Elephas maximus indicus: one gene and its partners. The protein of the gene in region 1 purifies or fractionates together with the protein of each later gene. This does not show direct contact. Links are inferred from orthologs where the notes say so. Each region holds a gene or a part of one and is shown in the gene's direction. Other genes may lie near its edges.

What was found.
Region 2: the proteins of RNF146 (region 1) and CHD1L purify together in Homo sapiens (co-immunoprecipitation; 3 studies listed by BioGRID and IntAct, counting the BioPlex papers as one, with this or other methods). This does not show direct contact. The link is inferred for Elephas maximus indicus from reciprocal best matches to the Homo sapiens genes RNF146 and CHD1L.
Region 3: the proteins of RNF146 (region 1) and LIG3 purify together in Homo sapiens (co-immunoprecipitation; 3 studies listed by BioGRID and IntAct, counting the BioPlex papers as one, with this or other methods). This does not show direct contact. The link is inferred for Elephas maximus indicus from reciprocal best matches to the Homo sapiens genes RNF146 and LIG3.
Region 4: the proteins of RNF146 (region 1) and XRCC1 purify together in Homo sapiens (co-immunoprecipitation; 3 studies listed by BioGRID and IntAct, with this or other methods). This does not show direct contact. The link is inferred for Elephas maximus indicus from reciprocal best matches to the Homo sapiens genes RNF146 and XRCC1.

What each region holds. Positions count from the first base shown.
Region 1 is NC_064819.1:195,289,532-195,296,863, forward strand, and holds the start of RNF146 (E3 ubiquitin-protein ligase RNF146), read left to right. Parts: upstream 1-4,323; 5' UTR 4,324-4,415; intron 4,416-4,422; exon of another isoform or gene 4,423-4,584; intron 4,585-7,332. UniProt on the Homo sapiens protein: E3 ubiquitin-protein ligase that specifically binds poly-ADP-ribosylated (PARsylated) proteins and mediates their ubiquitination and subsequent degradation. May regulate many important biological processes, such as cell survival and DNA damage response.
Region 2 is NC_064821.1:158,965,099-158,972,155, reverse strand, and holds the start of CHD1L (chromodomain-helicase-DNA-binding protein 1-like), read left to right. Parts: upstream 1-4,034; 5' UTR 4,035-4,096; coding exon 4,097-4,229; intron 4,230-4,334; coding exon of another isoform or gene 4,335-4,414; exon of another isoform or gene 4,415-4,478; intron 4,479-7,057. Other genes in the region: FMO5 (flavin-containing monooxygenase 5), read right to left, coding at 4,335-4,414. UniProt on the Homo sapiens protein: ATP-dependent chromatin remodeler that mediates chromatin-remodeling following DNA damage.
Region 3 is NC_064837.1:29,849,110-29,855,936, forward strand, and holds the start of LIG3 (DNA ligase 3), read left to right. Parts: upstream 1-3,827; 5' UTR 3,828-3,903; coding exon 3,904-3,989; intron 3,990-5,620; coding exon 5,621-6,174; intron 6,175-6,827. UniProt on the Homo sapiens protein: Isoform 3 functions as a heterodimer with DNA-repair protein XRCC1 in the nucleus and can correct defective DNA strand-break repair and sister chromatid exchange following treatment with ionizing radiation and alkylating agents.
Region 4 is NC_064829.1:106,924,161-106,931,268, forward strand, and holds the start of XRCC1 (DNA repair protein XRCC1), read left to right. Parts: upstream 1-4,092; 5' UTR 4,093-4,179; coding exon 4,180-4,230; intron 4,231-4,651; coding exon 4,652-4,744; intron 4,745-4,761; exon of another isoform or gene 4,762-4,967; intron 4,968-7,108. Other genes in the region: PINLYP (phospholipase A2 inhibitor and Ly6/PLAUR domain-containing protein), read right to left, coding at 1-72, 1,761-1,877, 2,975-3,044. UniProt on the Homo sapiens protein: Scaffold protein involved in DNA single-strand break repair by mediating the assembly of DNA break repair protein complexes. Negatively regulates ADP-ribosyltransferase activity of PARP1 during base-excision repair in order to prevent excessive PARP1 activity.

The sequences.
Region 1 (7,332 bases):
AGGGTTTCCAAGGAGCACCTGGTAGATTTAAACTGCTAATCTTCCAGTTAGTAGCTCTAGCTTTTAATCACTATGCCACCAGGGTTTCCGCCAGAGCCTCAGATGGAGGAATATTAGAACTTTTGACAAAAATTGAACAATAAGCAAAAGTTCCCCCAAAAGGAAAAGACAAAACAACACAAATGCAAAGCTCATTTTTTCAAAGTGTCCACTAAAATTCTAAATTGTTTTTAGTATATTTATAGTGTTTTTAAATATGACCCCTAAACCAGTGTCTCAGTAGTGGGGGAAATTCAGGCTCATTTATCAAAAATGTCAAGCTCTAACGTTCAAGCTTTTGGTTCTTTTTTTTTTTTTGACTCAATTCATTTTGTTGACTAGAGACCTAGTCTCTTATTTTAGACCTTAAATTACCTAAAAGGTTTTGGAAATTAGTTTCTTTAATTGGCAAGTATTTTAAAGTAGCTACTGATGACTTTAACATTGTGATTTTTTATTGAGAAACTATATCATAAAACAGGTCTGAACTACTACTTCTCTCTGAGAATTTGGCAAAACAGAACTGTTACCCAGGTTTTCTCTAGTACTCTAGCCTATCTCACACCACGTTATCCTGTCACAGGAGTCTTTAACGCTTGTGATGAGTGCTGGTGACCACCCTAATGGCTTTTGCTGGTTGACCTGTGCCCAAAATTTGCAGCTTATAGTGAGTGACCCAGAGCTCTTTGGAAATAGAATTGTCTCTTTAATGTTTCATATGCCTGAATCCAGACACAAAACTGCAGTTCACCAAATGAGTTACTGAACATCATTCTTAACCAAATGATCAAGCAAAAAACCTAAGAAAGATTCTCCTTAATCAAACAACTGGCTCTCAAAACAAATGTGCCAAACAAAGCTTAAAAAAACATGAAAAAGAGAACAAAAAGAATAAGTGAAGACTCTTTTTCGAGGGCACTCCCCCTGTCAGTGTCAAAGGGACATAGAGTGCGAACACGTGGGTCCAAGAGATAGGACCTCTTTTTCTTTTTTGCTGGCTTCTGCTCCACAGTCCAGGTCTCCTTGAGGTTGACTGGATTCATGGTTTTAGAATCCCTGCAACAACTACACCATTAACTCTTGTAGGGTGAGGACACCACAAAGTTTAGTAAAGCAAAAAGAAAGGTTTTATTCAGAGTATATTTAAAGAGGCAAAAGTAGGAAAGGGACAAGCAAAGGGAAATGCTGCCAGGGCCATGTCTGTCCAAGTCTCTGTTCCCAGTTCTTAAGGATGCATCTTAGCAGGCCACATTCTGGGATCTTTGAACATTCCCCATTCTTTGGATATACACACTTAAGACTCACACAACCTAATCCAGTGCACCAACTTAACAGGTACCTGAGCCTTTTATGCCCTCGGCGGTCAATTCCTCAAACTTCTTGGGACTCTTCTAAGGCCTTACTAGGAATTACCTGGTTATTTACTAAATAAGTTCAGATTCCTAATGCCTTCAATGGTCAATTTCCCCCGCTTCTTGGGACTCTTCTAAGGCCTTACCTTGAACCAAAAACCAAACTCGCTGCTGTCCAGTCAATTCCGACTCATCTTGCCTAAAAAAAAAAGCCTAGGTACTTATAAAACAACTCAGGTGCATTTCATGTCTTCCACAGAGCCATCTTTTGGGTCCCAGGTGGACTGGCCTTCAGAGCTGCCCCAAAGTCTACAGAAGAAATCTCCTGGTGGTGCCAGACACTGGGGTGGTATGTTGTCTGATTCACCTCAAGAACGGAACAGATGGCTCCTGGCTGGCTCATCAGAAATGTTACTGGGTGGAAAACCCAGGTTCTTGCTCGGCATGACTCGTATCGGCCAATAAACAAGAGACTGCTGTGGGAGTACAGAAAAGGCACCTTTATTGTATAAAGAAAAGTCAGAGCTGCTGCTGCCAAGACTGCTCGCCAAGGGAGGCCAGGCAAGTTACTTTTAAGGGGTTTGCAAGTAGGGAGTTCACATAAGTTATGTCAGCAACGTTCTTAATCATACTATGCAGACACAATGGGGTTTACATATAGTCTCCAAGCAAAAGCAGGATTCCAATGCAAAGCTGAGGGAGAGGAAGCCCAGCAAAAGAAACAGGATTTTTAATGCAACACTGTGGGGAAGGAAGCCAAGCAAAGAAGGCAGGATTTTTAACACAGCACTGTGGGGGCTCTGTCTCATAAGGGCATGGGTGAGAAGAGGCTGCCCTGATTGAAGAACTGTACCCTGAATTGTAACCTATTACTTCCCTGATAGAGCCCATATTTGTGAGCATTGTCTGTGAGTTTTTGCAATGAATTATTGAGCTCAGCAGGGAAGTAGAGTGTCATAGAAGGGACGGTTGGTGTTAGAATTGGTAAAAAGATTGGAGAGAGGAGGCATGTCTGACCTCCACCTCAGAGCAAACAGTCTTGGGCTGTTGATGTTGATTATGATTCTTCTTCCCCCTTGTGAAGTTAGAGGAGGTCAGATGCCCCCGCCACACCATTTTTACAAAACCACTTAAAACAAAGCCTGGCACACTGTAAGTTAATATTACTATTATGTCTTTAAGCTTAAATCTATAAGCTATATATTGGATTTTTTTGCTATTATCTGTTCACAGGTTGTGTAGGATAAAAAAAAAAGTGTAGGATAGAGGAGTAAAATTGAATGGCTAAGGAAAGAATGAAGATATGAAACTAAACTTCCAGGTGGAGGACCTACATGTTCATATTCTACACTTATAAGAAAAAGAGTACTTCTTAATGAGTAAACATCAAAGGAATAGATAGAACTCTTGAAGAGACTGATTACATATTGATGAATATGAATTCAGAGAAATAAAAGATAATGTACACAGATCTATAGATACAAGTGAGACAGAACCCTCACAGTGTTGCATTAAAAACCCTGTTTCCTTTGCTGGCTCCTCCCCCACAGGCTTTGCATTTGAATTCTGCTTTTGCTTGGAGCTTATCTGTAAACCCTATTGTGCCGGGGTAGTATGATTAAGAATGTTGCTGACATAACTTACATGAACTCCCTACTTGTAAACTCCTTAAAAATAACTTGCCTGCTCACCCTCGGGCAGTAGGCTTGGCAGCAAGGGCTCTGACTGACTACTTTTATTTGTACAACAAAATAAAGGTGTCTTTCCTGTTCTCCCACCAAGGCCAATACGAGTTATCCTGAACAAGAACCTGGGGTTTCCACTAGGTAACACAAAAAAACAAAAAAAACACAAGGACACTGAAAATTTCCAAGCCTGAAAAAAATAATGAAACCTCAAAATGCAATACTACTGCCATGGAATGTTGAAATATGTACTGTTACTATACAAAGCATTCCCTTCCACACTCCGCATTTTCTACAAATTAAAACAATTTAGTCAGTTATGAAAAAAAGTAAAGCACATGCTAAAATAAAATGCATAATACTGCCAAGTTTTTTTATGTTTAAAATTACACACACGCTACAAAAAAAAAAAAACACCCAATTTTTAAATTATAGCTCTGCATGGTAATTAAAGAGCCCTGGTTATACAGTTGTTAAGTCCTCAGCTTCTAACAGAGGCCAGCAGTTCGAACCCACCACCTGATCCTCTGGAGAAAATCCTGGCAGTCACCGTCCAGAGGTTTACAGCCTTGGAAACCCCATGTGGTAGTCTTACTCTGTCCTACAGGGTCCCTATGACTCAGAATTGACTTGAGGGCCGTGGGTTTGGTTTTGGTATGCTGATTAATCTCTTTCTCCAGCTTCCTGTGTTCTTTTCTGTTGGGAAAAACGAGTCCAAACAGAAAGTAAGATCCATTTTTTTTTCCCCTAATTAAACTGCTCAACTATTCTGAGGGTGAATTCGAACATCTTAAGGACTCTTTTTTTTTCTCGAAAGAGACCAAACAGAAGAGCACTTTTATCAAGAGCTCTTCACACCGAAAGCCAGCCAGCTAGCTAGCTGCGCAAGGACTTCTTCCGGATGGCCCAGTCGGGTTCCTGAGCAGCACCACCTGCTGGTCCTATATACGTCCCACCTGGTCCACCCAAAATCTCCCTCTCCCTTTCAGAGCCTCCTGGACCTAAGCATAAGTAAAACAATATATAAAGATATTTATAAAACAATATATAAACCGAAATTGCAGGTAGTCTGAGGAAGGAGAAGGACGGCACCCAACAAACGCTTCGGCTACGGTAGGAAACCAGCGAAGCGGGGACGGCCCGGCAGGGACTCCTGCGCAAGCTCCCGGCTGTGCAGCGCTCCTTCCGCCCCGCGCAGACCCGCCCCGCCCCGCCAGCGCGGGGCCCCGCCCCTAGGACGCGCCGGGAGGTCACGTGACATCCGCGCGCGTCCCCGGCCGCTGCGGGCTCGGAGGCCGAAGAGGAAAGACTGCGAAGTGTCCGCTGCGGTGGCCAAGAGGTGGGGGTCGGGGCCAAGCCTTCCTGGGGGGCAGGAGGGAGGCTAGCCCTGCCAGAGAATCCTGTCTCGGGGAGAGGAGGGCTACCCGCGGTGTCACCGCCGGTCGCGACTCGCTACGTGTCTGTCCTGCGCTCGGGGCCTGAGAGGGGCGGCGGCGGGGTCAGGACCGGTACGTAGATCGACGCCCTTGGGCCGGCGTGGCCCCGGCTGTCCGCGCGGAGGCGGGATGGGAGAGTTCAACCCTTCCCGCCGCCTCCGCCGTGACTGTTGTCGCAGCAGGAAGACTCACGGCCTCAGTGGTGCTCGCGGCCGCTGCAGCCCCTGCCCCGAGCGACGGCTCGGAGCTGTTCTAGGTCGGGGTGCGAGAAGCAGAGCAGCGGCCATTACTGCGCAGCCTCTTCCGCCGGTCCGCATCGCGGCCTTTGGTGGTGGCCGGGTACCTTCTCATCCCTCTCGGCGGTAGTGTCAGGCCTCTGTCTGGAAGATCTTGTCCTTAGAGCTTAGGTGAGGCGGTGGTTTGGGGGTTACCTGCTCCCTGTTTCTCGTGAGGAGTCAAACACCTTGGGCCTTGTGTCATATCGAGGCCTGGGTGTACAGTCCCCGCATTTGAATGTATTTTGTCTTTTTCGAGTGCCTTTGCTGTCTTTTTCTCTTCCCTCTCTTCCTCCTCCTGCCCACTGTCCCGGTCTTGCCTGAACCCGGATGGATATGAAGACAGCCGTTCGTCCACCCGAGCCACCGCTGCATATTCTTAGATCTTTGTTTTGACTGTTATTAAACATCGGAAAAATTGAGAGATCTCTCAGGGTACCGTTTGAGCCTACAAACATAAGTGCATCCTAAAAGCGCAGAGTGTTGCTTTGTTCTTCTGGTTGCTGGGTGTGGAGTTCTATCCCTACCCCCCACCCCGTCTGAAAGAGTACAGGTCTTCCTCCATTGTTGTCGCTATTTTATTTTCTGAAGGCTTCTCCAGGAAGGTTGCGAAATGTTTGGACAGTGTAGAGATGGAACAGTTCTTTCCACAGGTAAAATCTACAGGATTGTAAGTTTATGCACACATTCTGGCAACTGGATTTTTTTCCCCTTCAGTTATCAATGAGAGGTTTTATTTTTTTTCACTAAGTGTCATTTTAGTGAGCACTTGCTGCTCAGGTTTTGAAAATACGCACATTTTGTTAGGTAACATTTTTCTAATATTAGTATGGAACTGAGGAGAAGATAACTAATAGATGATAGAAAACACTTTGTATGATTGACATTTTAGGTGTTGAAATGGGGTGTAAAGTGTAACACTGGGCATTGAAAGTAGTATATAATTACAGAAATTAGAGACTTAAGACTGTTTTTAGTAAGTGAATCTGTATTTAGACTTTTAAAAGACATGGCATGTAGAAGACATAAAGAAAATAACCCACACAAATAACACAGGATTTATAAAGTTAGGTTTGTTGTTTTTATGACCAGCAAATATTGTTTGTAGTGAGTGGCTGGGTGTTCTAAAAACACATGAAAATAGGTCAAGTAAATGACATTTTAAAGAGAAAACCGGAAGAGTGAATACCACTCTAAAAATAGATTTTGGTGTGTTTGTTTTGTCATTGTATATTGTATTGTGGAGCACTTTTTTAAGCCCTTTTGATTTAGAATTGATGTTTCAAATGGACCAGTGTAAGTTGTGGGCAAAATGGAAATAATGATACTTAAACATTTTGAAAGTTTTTGTTGTTCGATGGGTGGTAAGAACTTAGTAGAATTATAATCATCAGGTAAGCTGTTTCTCTCAATAGCTAGTCGTTAGACAAAAGGAAGGGAAAAAAAAAGTGATTTTTCTTTCTGCAGACATTTATCGACTAGTGAAGTGTTTTGTTTCAGTTTCCACAGCTTGAATCGTTGGAAGAAAGGGGCAGACTTTTTGAAAGGACCCAAAAATGATTTCTTGACTTTGAAGAAAAAGATAAAATTAAATTTTTTCTTTGTTTCATATCATTCATCTGTTTAAAGAATAAATGTGTTAGCCATATACTCACATGAAACGCCTGACATATTGTCAGGAATTTGAAAGCTTTTTTCGACAATATTAGCAATAGATTGCTGAGCCTTTTCCACTTTTGCTAGTTTCTGTTTGTGACTAAAGAACCTGAATTGGTGAATCAGGCTAAGTTAGGAACAATTTTTGTGAGTATAGAAGCCATCTTACTAACACTGGGCTATATCTGTACTTATTTATGGATTGTGTTTAGTGTTTGTGGCATATTACCTTTTTGGTTAATTATAGCAAAACCTGTTGTTAAATGCCTGTTAATTAGAACATTTTGAGTTACAGAATTATAGAGTAGGGTGAAACAACTAAGACATGGAGGATTATGACTTGACCAAGGTCACACAGATAATTAGTGGCAAAGCCTTTTTATTTACAAAATGGTTGCAGGCTGTGGCACTTCTGTGCTTGGTATGATTAAAAGACAATATTTGTTGACATTCAGATGTCATGTTTTATTAAGATAAAATTCAAGGCCCACGTTTTATTTGGGGAAAATTTTAACTTTTAATGCTTGAATATGAAGATTGTGAAGGTAGTAGATTTCCATATAGTAATTTTTCTTAAGAGAAATAATATATATATGTGGGAAATAATTCTTTAAAATAAGAGTAGTGTGAAGTGTTAGACTCCTTTTAGCTAAAATGAGTTTTGACTGAATACTTGTTGCCAAGTATGGCCACCGTATTGTGTAAGCTAATTTTTAATAGGAGATAATAGTAAAAGCGAAAAGTGGAAACATTAGGGCATTTAGTTACATCTGTCAATTTGGAACTCTTAAGATGTAAGAAGTACAGCCAGAATGTTCCTTAGAAGCAAGAATGCGAGACTTGGTCTCATGTATTTACCAGAAGGGACTAGTCCCTGGAGAAAGGACAT
Region 2 (7,057 bases), on another chromosome or scaffold:
CATGAAGATCAAAGACCACAGCCTTCAGTATGGATTATATCTCAACATAAAGAAAACAAAAATCCTCATAACTGGACCAATAAGCAACATCATGATAAATGGAGAAAAGATCGAAGTTGTCAAGGATTTCATTTTACTTGAGTCCACAATCAATGCTCATGGAAGCAGCATTCAAGAAATCAAATGACGTATTGCATCAGGCAAATCTGCTGCAAAAGACCTCTTTAAAGTGTTAAAAAGAAAAGATGTTACTTTGAGAACTAAGGTGCACCTAACCCAAGCCATGGTATTTTCAATCACATTATATGCATGCAAAAGCTGGACAATGAATAAGGACAACTGAAGAATTGATGCCTCGGAATTATAGTGTTGGTGAAGAATACTGAATATACCAAAGACTGCCAGAAGAACAAGAAACCTGTCTTGGAAGCAGTGCAGACAGAATGCTCTTTAGAACTGAGGATAATGAAACTTCATCTCACATACTTTGGACATGTTATCAGGAGGGACCAGTCCTTGGAGAAGAACATCATGCTTGGTAATATAGAGGGTTAGTGAAAAAGAGGAAGACCTTCAAGGAGATGGATTGACACAGTGACTACAACAATAGGCTGAAACATAGCAGTGATTGTGAGGATGGTGTAAGACTGGGAGTGTTTTGTTCTATTGTACGTAGGATTTTTATGAGCCAGAATCAACTTGAGGGCGCCCAACAACACCAACAACAATCTGATGCACTGGACTGGCAATGTTTCACCCTCTTATATATAAGGTCCCCAAGAGAAATAGCTGACTTGATGGCAACTAACAACAACAATTTGATGGTGAGGCAGACAGTCAAAAGACATTTTATTAAAAGAGGAAAACAAACTCTGACTGGCCAAACAAAAGACCTGGGGGCAAACTTTCATGCATGGCTGCCAGTTTACAACCTCTAGACTATGTCCACAAAGATTTCCTTAATAATATTCTAGTGTTGTGCTCTTGCCTTTGGTGTTAAAGGAGAGTGCCAATTTTCTAAACTGACTGGCCCACAGTCCCATAAAGCAGACTTACTTTGTTGCTTTACTTAAATGTGCCCTCTTTTTAGTATATTTTCTAAGTTTTAAATTTATGATGTGTTATTTGATGCCAAAGATGTATAATTACAGCAAAAGTAAAAATACAGGTTTTCCTTTCTTGGGAGTTGAGAAATCCAAGTCTCCTTCATCCCTGTCCAGTGTTTTTTTCACTCTAAGGCACCTGGGTCCCGAGGTCTAAGTCCACATACTTAAGAAGAGGTCTGTATAAAATTTCACCTGTGGTCACAGTTTTTACCTAAGTTCCACATCTGACTCATTAGCTGCTGCCAGTTGGTATCTTGTTGTTACCCAACAGGGTAAGGACATAATGGATAGCAAACACAACCTGTTCACTAATTTTTGCTGGATCATGATTGTTTTTGTAGGGTTGGCAAATGCTAAGGTCCACCAATGACCTTTAATCTTGGTTACCTTTAATCTTGTTTGGCTGCTGTTGCCCGAGGACATAACTCTCTCTAAAAAGGAATAAAATGTAGAATCAATATGAATGCCATGACTTCATAACCTAAGTAAAAAATGAATGAAAAAAAGAGTGGGTGCTAGACTTTTGTCATGGATTGAATTATGTCCTCCCCAAAATGTGTGTATCAATTTGGTTAGGCCATGATTCCCAGTATTGAGTAGTTGTCCTCCATTTTGTGCTTGTAATTTTATGTTAAAAGGATCAGGGTGGGATTGTAACACCACCCTTACTCAGGTCACCTCCCTGATCCAATGTAAAGACAGTTTCCCTGGGGTGTGGCCTACACCACCTTTTATCAAGCGATAAAAGGAAAGGGAAGGAAGCAGAGAGTTGGAGACCTTATACCCCCAAGAAAGCAGCACCAGGAGCAGAGCATGTCCTTTGGACCCGGGGTCCTTGTGCCTGAGAAGTTCCTTGTCCAGGGGAAAATTGAAGACAAGGACCTTCCTCCAGAGCCAACAGAGAGAGAAAGCCTTCCCCTGGAGCTGACGCACTGATTTTGGACTTTTAGCCTACTTTACTGTGAGAAAATAAACTTTTCTTTGTTAAAGCCATCCATATGTGGTATTCCTGTCACAACAGCACTAGATGACTAGGACAACTTTATTCTGACGGTTAACATTGACTCACTAGAAAACATTAGACAAGCTGCCTAAATTTTCTGTGCATTCGTTTGCTCATCTGTGAAATGTCATCTCTGTACCTGAGAGTTACGACAGTCATAGGTTTTGGATTTTTAGAATTGCCCCATAGGCACTCCATTCAAACATTTAACAATGCTTTTTGAGGGCATACTATGTGTGAGGCATTGTTCCAGGTGCAAATTCAGCATGTCCTAAAAGTGCATGCTGAAATTCATTGCAGGAAACAATGACAGCATTTGTGATTTTAATTTACTACTGTTTTAGGGTTTCCTAACTTTGGCCATAGAGCTAACAGGTAATAAGTAAGGATATTTCAGGACATAAACCAAGTTATTACTAGTGTAAAGAGAACTCAACATGCCGTCCTTTACAATCTTGCTGTGAGTCGCTGGAGGGCAGGGGTGATGCGTTATTGAATTGTATAACCCCAGAACCCAGCAGAGTACCTGGTACCTGACAGTCAATGCTGATTAAATAAGTGAACGACCCGACCCCCTGATAAGCATTTCAGGCAACCATGTCTTGAAAAAGCACACGAGTGAGAACCCAGCGGCTCTAAGGAGGACCAGCACTTTGTGGCATCACTGGGGGGGGGGGGGTGGTGGAGGGGGGCAGTGCGGACTGCATCTGGTGACACCGTCAGAGGGGGTGGCAGTGTGCGAGGCAGCGTGCGAGGCAGCGTGCGAGGCAGCGTGCGAGGCAGCGTGCGGGCGGCGCTGGGGCTCCGTGTCCTGTCACAGGTGTAGACCGAAAATGCGGACACATGCAGGTGCCAGTCTGCAAGCAGGAGCCGAGTTCCGCAAGCCAGCCTGGGCCCTTTTCGCCGTCCCCTCCCCGTCCAACAGCGCACCCGCGGAGCCCCCGCCAGGCCTTGGAGCGCTGGCTTGGCGGCTGATCTCCCTCCACCCAACGACCTGCGAAAGACTGAACTTTTAAGACTCTTCTCCCCCGCTAGCGTGACTGTGCCAGGGCCCGCGCTGGGCCCGGGAATTGGGCGGCCTTTCACATGCAACTCCTGGGCACTGCAGCCCGTACCAGGTGGAGCGGGACGGGCCAAGTGACCTCTGCTCCTGGAGGGACGCGCTGTGTCCCAGGGCCCTTCCTGGCCGCCCTGAGGCCTTCTCTCTAACCCTTTCCGTTGCCACCCGGAGCTAGCCGCGCAGCCCCAGTGGCTGCCCGATTTCTCTGCCCCGCCAAAGAGCAAGCAAGCCTGTGCGCCAAAACGGAACCTAGAAGGCCAGTGGGTCTGGGTAGAGGTATCCCTACGTTGCAGCATGCCTAAAGTGGCCCTAGAGGAGGCGCCCAGCCGCTAGTGAGCGCTCAGCGGGATTGCGTGTCTGCCATCCATTCCCACTCCTCGGTCCGGGAACGCGAACTCCAGTCAGCCGCCCGGGTTCTGGAGGCCGGGGCCAGTCCGCCAGCGCCTCTGGCCTTCTGGTCCCCGTGACCGCGGGGCTGGGGTCGCTGCGCTTCTTACCAGAGCCGGGACTCCGTAATCCGAGGGAAGGAAGTGATCACCCAGCAGCCCCGCTTCTGCCTGAGGTCCTGTTGGCTTGCAGACTGGGGGAGGCATTTGCATGTCCCGGGAATTACGATTTATGGGTAACATTAAGACAAAAAACATTATTAAGGATTCTGTACAGCATAGTACTGGCGGAGGTTCATATGCGGAGGGAAATCGATCCCAATTTTAGTGACCCCCCTGCCAGCGCTACAAGAATTCCTGAATGAATCGGTAGGGTAACCAGAGCGCCGCATGCCCAACTCTGGTCCGAAAAGCCGCGTAGGACGCGCCCTCTGGCGGCGGCTGCGCTCCATCCGCTCAGCGCCGGCAAGTGGCCTGGGGCCTGAGCGCGTAAGGAAGCAAAAGCGCGCAGGGCCGCGCGGGCGGGGCCTCTCCAGGCCGGATGGAGCGCGCGGGCGCCGCGACCCGCCAGTGCAACATGCCGGACTTCCTGGTGGCTCTTCAGACTAAGTACAGAGCCGAGGGTACCCGGGCGCGGGTGGACGAGCACGACCTAAGGCTGTGGGGTCTGACAGGTCAGTGGGCCCGGCGAACTTCCGCCCAGATGGGCCAACTCCTAGGGACTCGCCGTGCCAGTCCTGTGGCGCCTGGAGTTCACCGCGTCCGTTGGGCTTATTTACCTGCTGGACCCAGCGTCTTCCCTTTCAGCCCTAGGGATGGGGTGCGCGGAGTGGAAACTGTGCCTGTGACGGGTGGCCATTTCCCGCTCCCGTTTTGCGTGTAGGGCCCAAGGGCTGGAATGAATGAGGACCGGGCGAAGGAGCGAGGCCTGTACCAGGGAGACAGGCCGGTGGGAGGGTAACTGCGTAAAGCCAGCGCAAAGTGCAGGCCTCTTGAAAAGAAGAGGACGCTCTGGCTCCCCAAGGGTGTGAAAGTCTCTTTTGCGTGGGCCTTTTCCTTGGCTGCTTCTCTAACTATCAGAACTCGTCTTCCAGTGGCAGTTCGCGTTCTTCGTTTACTGTGCATGCGCAGTTCTTTGATTAATTCTCCCCTAGTGCCATATTTTTTTTTTAGTGCCATATTTTGAAATGTGCAGCTAAGGGATGTTTGGCTGCTCATCACCGCACATAACAGTCTATTTTATTGATACTAGTCTTTCCCCAGAGTCCTCGATCCGCGAAACTTGCATTACCCCCCGAGGTCTGCTGATTAGTGTCTGGTCGTATTTCCTGCATGGAGAGACTCAGACTCTATTCCCAGAACTGCACTTGATTCGTCACTTAACCTCTCCGAACCTTTTCTTTATTTATAAAATAAGAAAAACAGCACGTGCCTTATCTGTATGACAGAATCGTGGGTCGACAATAATCAATACGTGGTGGGGGTCGTTTATTCATTATGGAGTGTGGCAGAGAGCCACATACTAATAAGGTACAGAGATGAGCGTACATATTTTGGGTACAAAGATGAGCAAAACAAATATGGGCCCTGGTCTCTTAGAGTGCTGAATGAGAGTGCTTTCAAAAGTATAAACACGTATTTATTGAATTTCATACCTTGTGCTAAATATCACAAAAGCGTGAAGTTTTTGTTATTCTTGAAATGAAACAAAAGATGCAGCTCTATACCCACCTTAGAAGAGGGATGGATAAAGAAGAGTGGATAGGGTCCAGACAAGAAAAGATCTCTCCCTTCTTGTGTCTCTGAGTCTGTAAGAATGTGTATCTCTGTCCCGTAAGGAGTGTGTATCCATCTGTGAGCATTTATGGACAGATGTTTATATGTTTGACGTATCTTGCCTTAAGTTTATACTTTTGTGTTTGCTTATTCCCTTGCAAGTGCTTTGGGATATGATTCTTTGAGAGCATGTGTTACTGAGAGCTAGGAAATGTGTACACATTGATAATAAACTGTGGATTATAACCAGAAAAAATGTACACATGGAAGTGATAATGAGAAGATAGACGAGGCAGCAAGTCTGAGTGAATAGGATAGAATGGGTGAATGAAGTAAATAGGCATATGTGGAAAAGGATAAACTGGAGAAAAAGAAAAATGGAAAACAGGTGTAGTCAAAAGAATAACCGTTAAAAATTATGACTTAAAATTCCTATTTCTATTTGCCAAATAAATATTCCGAGAATTTACTCCTTGTTTGTTAAATAACTTACTGATTTTTTTTTTCTTTCTGACTGCAAAAGTAGTATATGTTCTCTTTAGAACAGTTAAGGGAATATCATACACATAAAGAAAAGATGTTTAATCTTCACAATCCAATTACTGTTGTCTTCATGAAGTCACTGGACCAACACTCCAATTTGATATTTAAACCAATAAAATTTATGGAAGGAGTGAACTGCGGGAGAGCATTCATTCAGCGTGGCTGTAAGGGTATGCTCTGCCTTACAGACAAAACAAAGAAATATTTAACAAGTAGAGTGAGTACAGATAACAACTTCACATCAAAGTAATGGCAGGAGAGGAGGTGAGATTTACAAAGGTGGCAGTTAACTGTGAAACTTCTTTACATTGGTTTCTAGTCTAACACAAATCTCTCATACTTGATACAATTTAACTGGGTCACTATTTCTTAAATGAAAAGTATAAACAATTTTTTTAAATTGAACTTTAGATGACGGTTTACAGAACAAACTAGTTTCTCATCAAATAGTACACACATTGTTGTATGACATTGGTTAACAACCCCACGACATATCAACACTCACCCTTCTCAATCCTGGGTTCCCTATTACCAGCTTTCCTGTTCCCTCCTGCCTTCCAGTCCCTGTCCCAGGGCTGGTGTGCCCCTTTAGTCTTGTTTTGTTTTCCATGGGCCTGCTCAATCCTTGGCTGAAGGGTGAACCTCAGGAGTGTCCTCATTACTGAGCTGAAGGGGTGTCCAGGGGCCATACTCTCAGGGTTTCTCCAGTCTCTGCCAGGCCAGCAAGTCTGGTTTTTCTTTTTGAGTTAGAATTTTGTTCTACATTTTTCTCCAGCTCTGTCCAGGACCCTCTATTGTGATCATTGTCAGAGCAGTCAGTGGTGGTAGCCGAGCACCATCTAGTTGTACAGTCTGGTGGAGGCTGTGGTAGATGTGGTCCATTAGACCTTCTGACTAATCTTTCCCTTATATCTTTAGTTTTCTTCATTCTTCCTTGCTCCTGAAGGGGTGAGACCAGTAGAGTATCCTAGATGGCCGCTCACAGGCTTTTAAGACCCCAGATGCTACTCACCAAAGTAGAATGTAGAACATTTTCTTTATAAACTCTGTTATGCCAGTTGAGCTAGACGTTCCCTGAGACCATGGTCCCCACAGCCCTCAACCCTGCAGTTTGGTCCCTCAGGGAGTTTGGATGTGTCTAGTTAGCTACTATGACCTTGCCTTGTACAGGTTGTGCTGGGTT
Region 3 (6,827 bases), on another chromosome or scaffold:
TCTCTCCTGCTCTAGCCACATGGCTGTCCTTGCTATTCTCCCACATTCCGGCTTCTGGGCCCTTATTGATGTGCCCTCCACACTAGATCTTCACGGGGCTCTCTACTTCATTCCCTCAAGTCTTTACTCAGTTGTCACTTTGTCAGTGAGACCTTCCTGACCACTGCACTTAAAACTGCAACCTCCCACCCTCCCGGCACCTCTGCTCCTCCTCTATAGCACCCGTCATCATCTTACACAATTTTCTTTTTCCCAAATAAAAGGTCTTACATATTTACTACTGAACCAACCTGTTAGTGCAAAACCATAAAAACGAAGAAAGAAACCAGGACTTTCCCAATGTAACATGTTCAGTTGTTCAGTTACTGGCAAAATCTTCAGCTTGATATGGTAAGATGCCAGTGAACTTGATAGAGTGTAAATATGTGTACCATCACATATGAGACTCCTTATAGACCCAGCTTGGTTCTTCATTGTCTCCTCTTGCAGTTATATATGATTTTATTACCCGTTTTCATTTGAATCCATTGGGGAATGGGACAATTCTCCCTGTTTCTTGGCCAGGGATCTCTTAGTCCTGAAAGTCTTGTGAGAAGACATGGCAAGATGGAAGTCTGCAATTTACTTTGTTGTTTATTATCTATCTCCCACACAAGCCTGTCAGCTCACAAGGCCAGGGATTTTTGTGTTTTGTTTCACTACTCTATTCCAGCTCCTGGAACAGTGCCTGGCACACAGTAGGCACTCAATAAATAACTTGACTAATGACTAACTGAGTGATTAAGCTCTATGGTGGTATGAACGTATCCAGGCTGGGAAGTGGTGGGAAATGTACATTTACTAAAACACTTCTAAGGGCCACGCAGTTTGCAAGTTAGTATTAGCCATCTCGCTTAGTTGCCACAAGCAATCCTAAAAGTTAATTGTATCACCATTTCACCATGAAAACTGAGATCCTGAGGAGTAAGGAAAATAGACTAAAGTTACTCAGTGGTGGAACACAATTCAAACCTAAGTCTGTGATTTCAAAGCCCTGTTTTTCCCACCATACATTACCTCATTCTCCTTGGTAGCAGTTCCCACGTCAAACAATTGGCCTCAACGAAGAAGGCTTAATACATCCAAAACAAAGCTCATCCTCCTACCTCAAATACTCCCTCCTCCCCTCTCATTTTCTGTTTCAGTTGATGATCTATTATGTACTTGCTCGCTTGAGTCATACTCATTTCATCTTTAGATAAACGAGCATTTACCTAGAAGGCAATTTGGAATCTAAATGTTTCTCAAAAACACATCCTCTCCATCCCGAGTTTCTTCAGGCCACATTCATCTTTTACATGGGTCACTATAAATACATTTTAATTGGTCCTCTTGCTTCAGCCTCCCCAGATTGAGCTTCAACCGTAACTCCTGTTTCCATAAAGCCCTTCATGGCTCCATCATCTACGGAATAAAGGTCAAGTTCTTTATCAAACAACACGTAATTCCCGCCAGGACGTGACCCTTGCTTACTTCTCTAACAATGCTCTATTGTTGCTGTTCCTAAACCCTGAACAAGTTCACTTACCTTCTCTGAGCTACCCTTTTGTAAAAATAGACATCCTAATCCCTCATAAAGTGCTGAAAAGTGATGATGTTACCTTGAAAATTAAGGTGCACCTGACCCAAGCCATGGTGTTTTAAATCACCTAATATGCATGGGAAAGCTGGACCATGAATAAGACCAAACAAGAAATGAGGTGTTGGCGAAGAATACTGAATATACCATGGACTGCCAAAAGAACAAACAAATCTGTCTTGGAAGAAGTACAACCAGAATGCTCCTTAGAAGCAAAGATGGTGAGACTAATCTCACAAACTTTGGACATGTTATCAGGAGGGATCAGTCCCTGGAGAAGGACATCATGCTTGGTAAAGTGGAGGGTCAGTGAAAAAGAGGGAGAACCTCAACGAGATGGACTGACACAGTGACTGCAACAATGGGCTCAAGCATAACCATTGTGAGGATGGCACTGGATTGGGCAGTGTTTCGTTCTATTGTACATAGGATCGCTATCAGTCACTAGATGGCATCCAAGAACAATCTCTCATAGGGTGCCCTGGTGGCTCAGTGGTTAAGCACTGGGCTGCTAACTAAACCGTTCGTGGTTCAAACCCATCCAGCTATTCAGCGGGAGAAAGATGTGGCAGTCTGCTTCATCTAACGATTACAGCCTTGGAAACCCTAAGGGACAGTTCTACTCTGTCCTACAGGGTTGCTGAGTCAGGACTGGATGGCAAGGGGGTAAACTCTCATAAAGCTGAGCTGAGGTTCAAAAGAGATAATGCACTTAAAACTATATATAATATAAAGGACTTTTTCCACATCTCCTTTACACAGTTTCATAACTCCATATACATTACCCGTTAAAAAACCAAACCCGTTGCCATGCAGTGGCTCCCAACTCACACCGACCCTATATAGACAGGGTAGAACTGGCCCATAGAATTTCCCAGGAGCGCCTGGTGGATTACGAACAGCCGTCCTTCCGGTTAGCAGCTGTAGCACTTAACCACTATGCCGCCAAAAACCCTATATATACATTAAAAAAAAAAAAAAAAACCGTTGCTGTCGAGTCTACCGTAGATCTGCCCCATAGGGTTTCTTTCCAAGGAGTGCCTGGTGCATTCGAACTGCCAACCTTTTGGTTAGAAGCATTAGCTCTTAACCATTATGCCACCAGCGTTCCCATATATACATTATGTTTCTTTAATTCAACATTTATTGAATACTTACTACATGCTAGGCATTGTGCGGCACCCAAGGCAGGGGGAATACAGATAAACAGGTTTAATGACAGGATCTTAGCCTTCCCCAAGCTGATTATAATGTAGTTACACAACCAGTATCTTTTAATTGAACTGGATAATCTCCAGCAACGAGAAAATCAGGAGGATCTGTGGAAGTTCGGGTCAGGATGCGCTCCGGGGCGCAACCACATCCCTTCATCTTCGCTCCCTCAGGCCGCAATCACAGACCGGGAACCCCCAAACCCAGACACTAGAGACTCGGGCCCCACGTGACAGAATCTGACCACCACCCACGTGGCAGGCCGGGGGCGGAGACCAGGAGCATAAGTCGGACCTTTGCTTTTGCGCCTGCGTGCTGCCTCCAGCTCAAGGACCCGGATTTAAAGAGACAGGAGCTACAACCGTCGTGGGCTGGCCACGGCCTGTGGGCCCCCGGTCCTTAGGCCTACGGTGTGCGCCGGAGCCGGGAAGGCAGGTGAGGGGCGTCCCAGCGGACCGGGCACTGGGGAGGGGAGAGGGCCAGGTCCCGCACCGCGGCGCGGCCCCGATTCGGCCCCCTCGGCTCCTCCCCCGCCCGCCTGCTGAGCACCGGAGCACACCCTCCGTGACGTGGCCGCCCCCCGGGAGCCGGCGGGGGAGGTTCGCGGCTCTCCAGGACCCCCCACGGGACCCGCGCGAGGGGAGGTACCCGCTTCGTGCCCCCGGGCTTGTGTCTTCTAGGGGCTTTCGTGGGGGGCTTTTCCGACCCCAGGCCTCTCTGCTTGCGTCCCGCGATGAAGTTGGTGCGCCTGGGGAGACTTTGGAAGCCTTTCTCCCTTCCCTCCGCCTGTCTTGGCCCCTTCCCCAGCCCCACGGGCGTGTGCTCCCCGGTCCCTGCCGGCCTGAACCGGAGGGAGTCGGGGTACTGGGGACACGGCGCCCGGGACCCGCCTCCCCGCAGCCAGACCCCCGAGCCCGGGACAGTAGACCCAGCCTGCTCTCCGAGCGTGTCGCGGGCAGGCCCCTGAGGAAAAGCGGCTGCAAGGGTTTCACTCCCAGCTCGGTGCCGCTCCCTTGCCCAGCCGGTGCGGCGTTCAGGCCTTAGCGGTTTCCTCCTCGGGTTCCTTTGAGGAAATGCTGAGCTGCGGCCGTTGGGAGCTGTGGGACCGGCAGACGGGTTCCCTCAAAGCAGCATTGTGCCTTCTCGGGGCCCAGCGCCTGTGAGTCGCTTGTGATGCGGGGGCAGGACGCTGACGCCGGCCCCCTGCACTATTCCCACTGGGGAGGGGCGGTGACTCCGTAGATCGCTCTGCAAAGGGAGATAGCAAATCTACCAGGTGCTGAGCTCCTACTAGGGGCTCGCCACTTTCACACGCCTGGTTCTTCGTTTAGGGAGTTAGAGAGCCCTTTGTGGATCTCGTGAAAGTTACCGACCTTCTCTCCAAAAAAAGTACATTTGCAAATGTACACATTTTGTATACATTTTCAGGAAGTTCAGAAGCCTCCATCAGCCCATCCATGGACTCGTTTTAATTTTCACAACCACCCTGTGAAATAGATATTATCGTCCCTTTCAGAGAAGTTAAGGGATTTCTCAAAGGTAACTTAGTAAGCTGTATGATCAGACTCGGAGTTCCTAGTTGGTGCAAAGGTTTAATATGTATAATGCATGCGCTAGTCTGCTAACTGAAAGGTTGGAGGTTCCAGTCCATCCAGAGGCATCTGTAAGAACGGCTTGGCCATCTGCTTCCCAAAAATCAGCCATTGAAAACCCCACGCAACACAGTTCTGTGACACACGTGGGGTCACCATGATTAGAAGTCAACTCCATGGCACCTGGTAAACTAGACTCCCTAATGCCGAAGCTCGTGTGCTTTCCCCTGCACCATGTTGCCCTACAGTAAAGAGAAGCCTACTTTTTATTGTAATGCAATAGCAGTTTCACTCTGAAGGAGTGTGCAAACTGAAACTAATTTCCAGTATTTTTAAAAGTAGAACTATAAAGATTCTTTAGGAAATCTGAACCATATGTGAAGGTTGGGGATACCATCAGGTATAATCCCTGTTTCCATATGGATTGATAGATCAGCTCCTTTGACTCCTCCTGTCCCATTACTTCAGCATACCTGGATTCAAGTTGCTGAATTATGAACAGGTGTATAATTGCTTAGAGGACAGCGTCTTCCTTATAAGGGGACCTAGCATTTATTGCGCCCCTGCTGCGTGCCCAACTCTGTTCTAAGGACTTAACCCTTGAGATAACCCCTTGAGTTAGGTACTGTTACTAGCCATAGTTTATAAATATGGAAACTAAGAAACCAGAGAGGTTAAGTTAACTTACCAAGATACATAGCTGGTTGAGTTAGAATTTGAACTCAGGCAGTCCAATTCCAGGCTCTGCTAGTTGCCTCTCAAAATAGGGCTTCTGATTAAATCACAAATCTATATAGAGTAGCTTAGTTGTTTTCACAGGATGGCATGTGTGTCACACTTCACATTAAAAACTTCATGAACATTTTTCTTGATGGTGAAAAAGAAACTTCAGGCCCCTGTAACTTTAAGTCTGGAGTACCACGTATTGCTGATGGCCTGGGAAAATGAATAAGCACGTATTTGAGTTGTCTTAATTGTGATTTACCAGATACGCATGTGTGCATTAGATAACTGAACACCTTTTGCAGACTGGATTTCGGTATTAGAACTCTTTTCATCTTATGGAGAGTCAATCTGCAGTACTTGGAGAAGCATTGAATTAGTCAGCATGAAATGTGTATGACTCTAGCCTTTGTGGAAACTGGAAGCCCAGCTTCTCATTTTTATATCTTTCTCTGCCTCTCGTCTTTTCATGCAGCTATATGACTTTGGCTTTCAAGACCCTCTTCCCACAAACTCTCCGTGTACTCAGCCGAAAAGAACCGTGCCTATTCCGAGTGCGACATCACCGGCCTGACGTGAGACAGTTCAGCCAGCGTTCAGAAACAGATCTGATTCCTGGGAGCTGCCTCCTCCTGAGAAAAGAGCCTGTTCTATCATTCCAGCGAGGCAGTCTAAGACCACGTGCCACCTGCCTTGTTTTCTCGCCAGGATCGCATGTGGGACTCTGTAGTGGCTCCAGTGAGATGGCTGAGCAGCGGTTCTGCGTGGACTATGCCAAACGTGGCACAGCTGGCTGCAAAAAATGCAAGGAAAAGATTGTGAAGGGCGTTTGCCGAATTGGCAAAGTGGTGCCCAATCCCTTTTCAGAGTCCGGGGGTGATATGAAAGAGTGGTACCACGTTAAATGCATGTTTGAGAAACTGGAACGGGCCCGGGCCACCACAAAAAAAATCGAGGACCTCACAGAGCTGGAAGGCTGGGAAGAGCTAGAAGATAATGAGAAGGAACAGATAACCCAGCACATTGCAGGTGGGGTGGAGAAAACTGCTTTTTCATCTTACTGGTGCCAAGAGAAAATAGGATAAGGAGAATAGAGTCCAGTTTTTGTTTTTGTTTTTTTTTTTTTGCTTTTTTCAAAACAGTTTATTTGGAGATAATTTCAAACAGAAAAGTCAAAAGAATAAAAATAGTGCAAAAAATCATAGTTCCTTTATCAGATTCACATATTGTTAAGTTTACCCTATTTGCTTTATCATTTGCACTTATGTGCATTGTCTTTCTATCTCCACACACACACACACATTTTTTTCCTGAACCATTTGAGAGTAACTTGCATACGCTGTGGCCCTTTACCTTTAAATGCTTCAATGTGTGTATCATAAGAATAGGAATACAGGCAGTCCTGGGGTTATGAAGGAGGTCCGTTCCTAAATCTAAGTCGACTTAGTAGGTAATACAAAGTTACACACTTAGCACAGTGTTGAGGCAACATGATCCAATTTAAAATGACAGATTGCATTCTCTTTCCTTGAGCTTATGAACTGCTGAAGCCACACAGTGTTTTCATGAGTGTCACAAAGTAGTGCATGCGTTCATTATTACCGACCATTGTATTTAACTCGAGTTTTTAATATACTAGGCTTTACGGCAGTCTGTTGTTAAGTACGCGTTATCCGTAAATC
Region 4 (7,108 bases), on another chromosome or scaffold:
TGGACACAAAGCCGGAGTAGCAGTCTTTGAACTTCATGCAGGCCTTGTAGGTGTTCACCGACTGACGTCCCTCTGTGGGGTGGAGGATGGAATAAGGGGCTGGGCAAGGCATTTGGCCACACCCAGCCTCGAGGGCTCTTCTAACCCTACCCGCCCCCACCAGCAACTGCCTGGGACAATCTCTTCCAGCCCCAAATCTATACCCCCTTATCTGCCTGGGGTGGTCTCTTGCAGCCCTCTAAAGCCATACGCCTGGTCCGCCTGGGTATACTTTGGAGTGGCATGTTAGGAAGCCCTCCCTACTCATTGCCTAGGCCGCATTAGGTCTTTGGGGGTCTACTGCAGCTCTCCATTGCCAACTCCCCAGGTGCCTGCTTGACATGGTCTCTTTCAAACCACTCCACTGCCATCCTTCTCTCCTGTCCAGCCTGTAGTGGGCTTTTTCAGGCCGTTTAATGGTTACCCCCCATGTCTTCTTGAGGTGGTCTCTTCCAGCCTCAGAACTTTCGCCCTCTGCGCCTGGGGGGGTCACTTCCAACAAACCCTGGGATACTGCACACTCCCGCCCCAACACCTGTGCCCCTACTCTGTCTAGGGCGGTCTCTTCCACACTCCCCCATGGTCCATCCCCAGGCCTCCCTTTGATGGTCTCTTGCTGCCCTCCTTCCAGCTCAATCCAGTGGTTTCCCTTCTTTCTCTCACTCCCAAGGGTGACTTTTCTCCAGCTCCCTTCAACACCCCTTCAGGGTCTATATCTTCCCCTATCTGCTGTGGTTGCTCTCCTCAAGCCTTTCAAGTCCTTTCTGCCACCAGCCAACGTTTGCTGCGTGGGTGGGACTGCATGCAATCTTCTAGCCCAACTTTCTTATACAACTTTTCCTGTCAGGGTGGTTTCTTCCTACACGCAGGGTTACCCCTCATCTCCTGTCACAGCCTCTCCTCCTGCATCTTGCCCCATCTCTCCTCCTGTGAGGAATGGTCTCTTTCAGCTTTGAAAGAAAATCCCCCCCCCCCCCAGTGGTCTATTCCATTGGTGTTCTTTCAGCCTTTCTCAGGTCTGGAATGGTCTCTTCCATTTAAGTCATGCTCCCCCTCTTCCTTCCATTTCATTCTTCGTCCCCAGTCCCCCCCCTTAGGATGATTTTCTCCATAATTCGTAGTTATCGTCCCCCCCCGTCTGGAATGGTCTCTCCCTCTCTCCCTCTACCCCAACATCATCTCTCCTCCTCCTGTCAGAAATGGTCTCCCCGACATCCCTGAGGTGGTCTCTTCAAGACATCTTTTGGTCGATTCCTCCCTCTTGTCCAAAATGGTCTCTTCCCTGATCACGTTCCTCGGACCTTCTCCCAGTCTCTTCCTTCTTCTCTATCACCCTCCCGTTCTCCTTGCCTATTAGATTCTTCCACTGTATTTCTCTGTTCCTCCTTGTCCTTTCCTCACCCCCTCCCGCCTAAGAAAGTCTCTTTAAGCCCTCCCCCATAGCCATCTTCTTTTGGAGTTGCTCGTTTTTTAAAAATCTAAAAATGGCTTGTGTCTCCATTCAGTTGTCCTCCCTCCACCTTGTGATGGTTGTTTCCTCTTGCCTACCCCATCCAAATTTCTTCTCACGCCTCACCCTGCTTGCGAACTGGGATGACCCCTCCCGCACCGCCCCCCCCCACGCCCCGCTTCCGCCTGGTGGTATCTTTTTCCCACCCTGAAGGTTCTCCCCCAGCCCCCTAGCTATGGTCAGAAGCCCTGCAAAAGCCCTGCGTTCGTACTTGTGCTCGACTCCCCCACGACGACTACGCACGCGTCCTTGCCATCCTCGCATGTCTTCATTTTTCCGTTGCACGTGGGCCCAGGGCCCTTGCACACCTCACAGCTTAGTGGGCATCCTATAGGGTAGAGATCGGGGCTGTAGTCATGGGCGGTGCGATTAGTGGGCCACGACTCCCACTTCGGAGTCCCGAGGGAGATGGGGGCAGGGTTTGAGGGAGGAAGGGACTGGATTTCTGGTCCTGAGGAAGGTCCAAGGCCCAGACTGATGGGTCTTGAGAGAGGCTGGTGTCTCTCTGGTTTTTCATGGGTGGGACATTGCTGCGTGTCCGGGGACCTGTCCAGAACTCTGACAGGAACGCGGTGATGATGTCACCAAAGCTGCTCCCAGGGCAGGAAGCGACTCCACCGTGAAGCCTGTTACCTAATTACAAGGCTGGGGGCTTTGGAGGACAGGATCCGCAGAGAAAGCTCAGAGCTGGGAGGGTTCGTACTGAAGGCTTTCATGAAGTTTCAGGTTCAGCTGGTTCAAGGGTTTGGAGCCCTCCCACTTGCAGATACAACTTAGGTCTTGCAAACAGTAGGAGCTCAGGCAGCGGTACCTGAAGCTGGAGTTTGCCTCCAGTCCAAGGAGGGAGAGTGAGGACCAGGAGGGCTGGGGGCATGGACCCCTTAGTGTTGACAGAGGAGGGGCTGGGGGCCCAGACACCTGGGTCATGGAGAAAGTGGGGCTGGTGTCCAGACTCCTGAGTCTGAGGAAGGAGGGGCCTGGGATGCTGGGTCTGAGGGAGAAGAGGGCTGGGGGGCTGGACCCTTGGGTCTGAGGGAAAAGGGGGCCTGAAGTTATTAAGAGTCCAGGGAAAAAGGAGCTCTCTCTCATTCATATTCTCTCTCTTAATTAAAAAAACAAAAACAAAACAAAAAAACCCTTTCTAGTCATGCTCTCATCTGATTTTCTAGAATTTGGATGTGTTGCTTTGGGACCCTACCTAAGGGAAAGAGGATTCAGAGCCCATCAAGCCCCCTTCTCTCTCAGGGGTCCAGTCATATGAGCATTTCTTCCCTTGGGGCCCCAGACTCTCTGTTAGTGTCTGCCTCCTCCATGAGTCTGTATCCCTGGGTACCCCACTTTACCCCCTGAGGACATTTGCTGAATGTTCTTTTATAGTCCCTGCTTTCCTGAGGGTCCCAGGAGTCCAGGGCCCCAGTCACTCACCGAGACCCAGAAGGGTGCAGAGCAGCGTGAAGGTCAGCAGGAAGGCCCTGGGTCCAGCAGAGGTCCTCATGGTGTGTGAACCTGTAGTCCCGTGTCCCCAGCCCTTATAGGAAGCTGAGGAGGGGCGGGTCCAGACCCACCTTCACCTGCGGTGAGAAGGAGCTGAGGTCAGATTGAGCCCAGGGCAGGTCTCTGCAGCCCCCGGGTAGGGGAGGTGCAACTAGCATCCAAAAGGTATCCAGGCATCTGGTGCCCAGCCCCCTCCTCCACTGGAATCCCGGGAGTCTGGGGTTCCAGCACCCTCTTCCATCAGGACCCAAGAGATCACTTTCCCATTTTTCACACCCACATCTTCTTTACTCAAAGCCCAAGGTCTGAGTGGGGTCACTGTATTCCCTGTGGGTGCGAAGCAGCTACAAGGACTGGGATCCCCTCTCACCTTCCCAAGGAGGCACCTAGCATGGGTGGGGCCCCACCTGGGAGTGCCCAGCATGTCCATGCTTGTTCTGCAGGACCCAGGCGACTTGTCCTCCTTCCCTTTTCCTTCTAGCACTTGGCTCATGCTCCCTTCTTTATGTCCGGGCTTTCTCTGGCGCCGACCCCGTCCAGGGCTGCACGCCTGGGTCTGTTGCGGACCGAACAGAGGGGTGCCTGTCCGCGGCTAGCGTGGGCGTGGCAGGAGACAGATGCTCACAGGTCACATTGGGGAACTGAGGCGTGGGTGGGAGTACTCTAAGCTGTGTGTGCGTGTGTGTGTGCGTGTAGCCAAGGGAGCCGATTAGGCTCCCCGCGAAAATCCAACTCAGGTTGGCTGTCTTGTGTTTAGGCTTCAGTTTGGGCGGTGATCGCATTGTCCAATGAGAATGGCGAATTTCTCCTGGGGACCAATCCCGGAGGCCGCTCCAGTTGCTAGGCGCCCAGGAAGCAGGATGTAAACGTCACCGGGAGGAGAGGTTAGAGCAGTGGGGTCAGAGAGAGGCGGGGCTAGAGAAAAGCTTGTTGCTGGGTCCTCGCCACTCCGCGCCTTAAAGGCGCAACTGAGCATGCGCAATGTCGACGCGGGCGCCGGCGCGCCGCAGTTTGAAAGGCCCGAGCCTTGCGCGCTTGCGTACTGAAGCCCGTGCAGAGGAGCGCCCCCACCCTCCCCGCCCCCAAACCCAGGCCCACTTGCCTCCTTCGGGCCAGGCGAAGGCCACGACTTTGACATGCCGGAGATCCGCCTCCGTCATGTCGTGTCCTGCAGCAGCCAGGACTCGGTGAGGGGCCGGCGTGGGGGAGGTTGGAAGACGTAAGGAGATTAATGAGGGGTGCTCTACAAGAACCTTTGGGGGTGTAACAAGGAACTTCAGGAAGGTCTAAGCAGAAAAAAAGCCAAGGGTAAATTTCCAGGAGGGTCTAAGTGAACTCTGGGAGAGATGTGGGATAGAGGAACTTCCGGGCGTCTGTGGAGTTTCCGGAGAGAAAAGGAGCAATAGGGGAACTTTCTCGGGAGAGCCTGGAGGTGAACTTCTAGAGGAGAAGGTTGTAGAGGAAACTCAAGGCAGGGTGTGGGGGGATTAACAGAGGAACTTACATCTGGGGGATCGCAGAGAGCTTGGAAGGATTCGGAGAAATAATCTGAGAGCTGAGCCTAGCTCTCATCTCAGTGCCATAACCCTCTCCCATTCTTGTCCCTAGACCCACTGTGCAGAAAACCTTCTCAAGGCGGACACTTACCGGAAATGGCGGGCAGCCAAGGCAGGCGAGAAGACCATCTCTGTGGTCCTCCAGGTGACCCTGCCCTCTCCCCACCTTCGTCTCACCAGAAGTCTGGAGACCCAGGGTCCAGGCTCAGCTCTTGAGTCAGCTGGCAGTGCACTGAGTCACTTTCCCTTCTGGGCCTCAGCTTCCTTACCCCGAAAATGGGTTGTGTGATCCCTGTGCCCCACAGCATAGAAGAAAAGAGACCCAAGAACTAGGCCAGAGATGACCATGGCATCAGGATGTGGCCCTGGTAGGTTGCTTCCACATTCCGGGCCTTATTTTCCTCAATGGGAACAGAGTGAATTATTGCCATGTATCCTGACTACTAAGGTCAGTGGACTCAGCGCAGGAAGGTGTCCAGGAAGATCATTTATGCCAGTCAAGTCCGTTTTTAACAATGAGGAAACTGAGGTGTAGGAAGGGGAAGTGAAGTGACCAGTCTCAGCTACCATTTCTGGAGTGCTGGCTGGCGTTTTTCTGAGTACTTTTTGTACATGTTCTCACTGAATTCACTCCACAGTCCTGTGAGGTTATTAATGTTGTTAATGTTTTGCTATCACATTGATTCTGTCTCACGGCCACCGCATGTGTGCAAAGTATAATTGCTTCATAGGGTTTTCAAGGCTGTGACATTTCAGAAGCAGATGGCCAAGCCTGTCTCCTGAGGCAACTTTGGGTAGATTCGAACTGCCAACCTTTTAATTAGTAGTTGGGCACTTAACCATTTGTACCACTAAAACTTCCTGTGAGGTTGGAGGGAGGCAAATAGGAGAGAGCAGCTTGACCTGAGATAGTTACAGAATTCCACACAGGATGTTCTTGTCAGGAATACGAAAACGATGGGAGAAGAATGCCAAATGTGTATTAAGCATCGACTGTTTCACCTGCGTGATCTTGGTTTTCTGAGGCTGAGATTGTACTTACTGCTTTCTGTTTAGACACTTTCTTGATTTTGGCCACATTCCTTAGTTCTGAATGTGGGGGTGTTTGGGAAGGAATGTTGGGAAGGCTTGCATGATTGTATTTGACACTGAACAATCTTGGTCTCTGTATTGACCAGGGATTCTAAAAAAAACTTTGGGATCATAGAGCCTTTTGAGAATTCGATAGAAGCTGAGAATTCTCTTCCCAGGAAAAATACACAGACCCACAAAATTTCCTGAAACCCTAACATAATAATAATGAGCACTAACATTTATTTATGTTACAACCTGCCAATCACCGTTCTAAACACCTCATATGGATTGACTTGTTGAGTTCTTATAAAAAGCCCCGTGACCTAGGGTCTATTATTATCTCCATCTTGCAGATGAGGAAACTAAGGCCCAGAGAAGTTATGCAGCTGGCTCAAGAGTCAGTGTTTTAAATTGAGGGAGGTACAGCTTGCTCAGGATTTATTATCGGGACCTGAATTCATGCTCTCCCTCTTACTCACTCTCTGACCTCAGGCAAATGTTTCGTTTCTCTGAACCTGTTTTCTTATCTGTCCATTAGGAATAATAAGATCTAAGCCCAGGGTTGTTGTGAAAATTCAGTGACATAATGTCTGCAAGAGTGATCTGTCAACATGCAGGTGTTTGTGTAAGGGGTGGGATTTATGTTATTATTACTGGGTGATGATTCTCCTGGGCTTCCTTATGATCAGGTGACCCCAAGGGAAATCATGTTTGAGTTTGCATGTTGCAGTGGAAACACGGAGACTGGAGGCAGAAAAGACTGGACGTAGAGGGTGAGGAAGCAGGAGGAGCCAGATGAGGTACCAGGTTCTTTGGCTGGGAGACTGAGGGCAAGAGTGCAGCTGAAATGGGTTACCCAGAGAGAGAGCAGCTTGGGAAGGTGATGTGTTTGTTGGGACATCCAGGTTTGATATGACTTTGGGGCATTCATGGGGCAGCATCCAAGAGACAGTTAGGGATTGGATATGGAGCCAGAGCCAGAGGTGTGGGACTTGTCAGCACAGGGACAGGACCAGAAGGCCTGGGAGTAGATGGATTCGTTCATTCATATGTTCATGCATTTATTCAATAGGTATTTATTAAACACCTTCTGTAGAGTCAGAATCAACTTGACGGCAAGTGGTCATAGGCCACATGGAGACCCTGGGTGGTGTAAGAGGTTTATGTGCTCGGCTGGTAACCAAAAGGTTGGAGGTTTGAGTCTACCCAGAGGTGCCTCAAAAGAAAAGCCTGGCGATCTTCTTCCAAAAAATCAGCCATTGAAAACCCTATGAAGCACAGTTCCACTCTGACCATCAGTTGGAATCAACTCAATGGCAGCTGGTACTGACACCATAGACCACGCACTGTTTTGGGTGTTGGGCTTTAGAACAGCGGACAGCACAAGCCGAAAGGTATCTCAGGCCTTGTGGGGCTTTCATATTGGCAGGGAAAG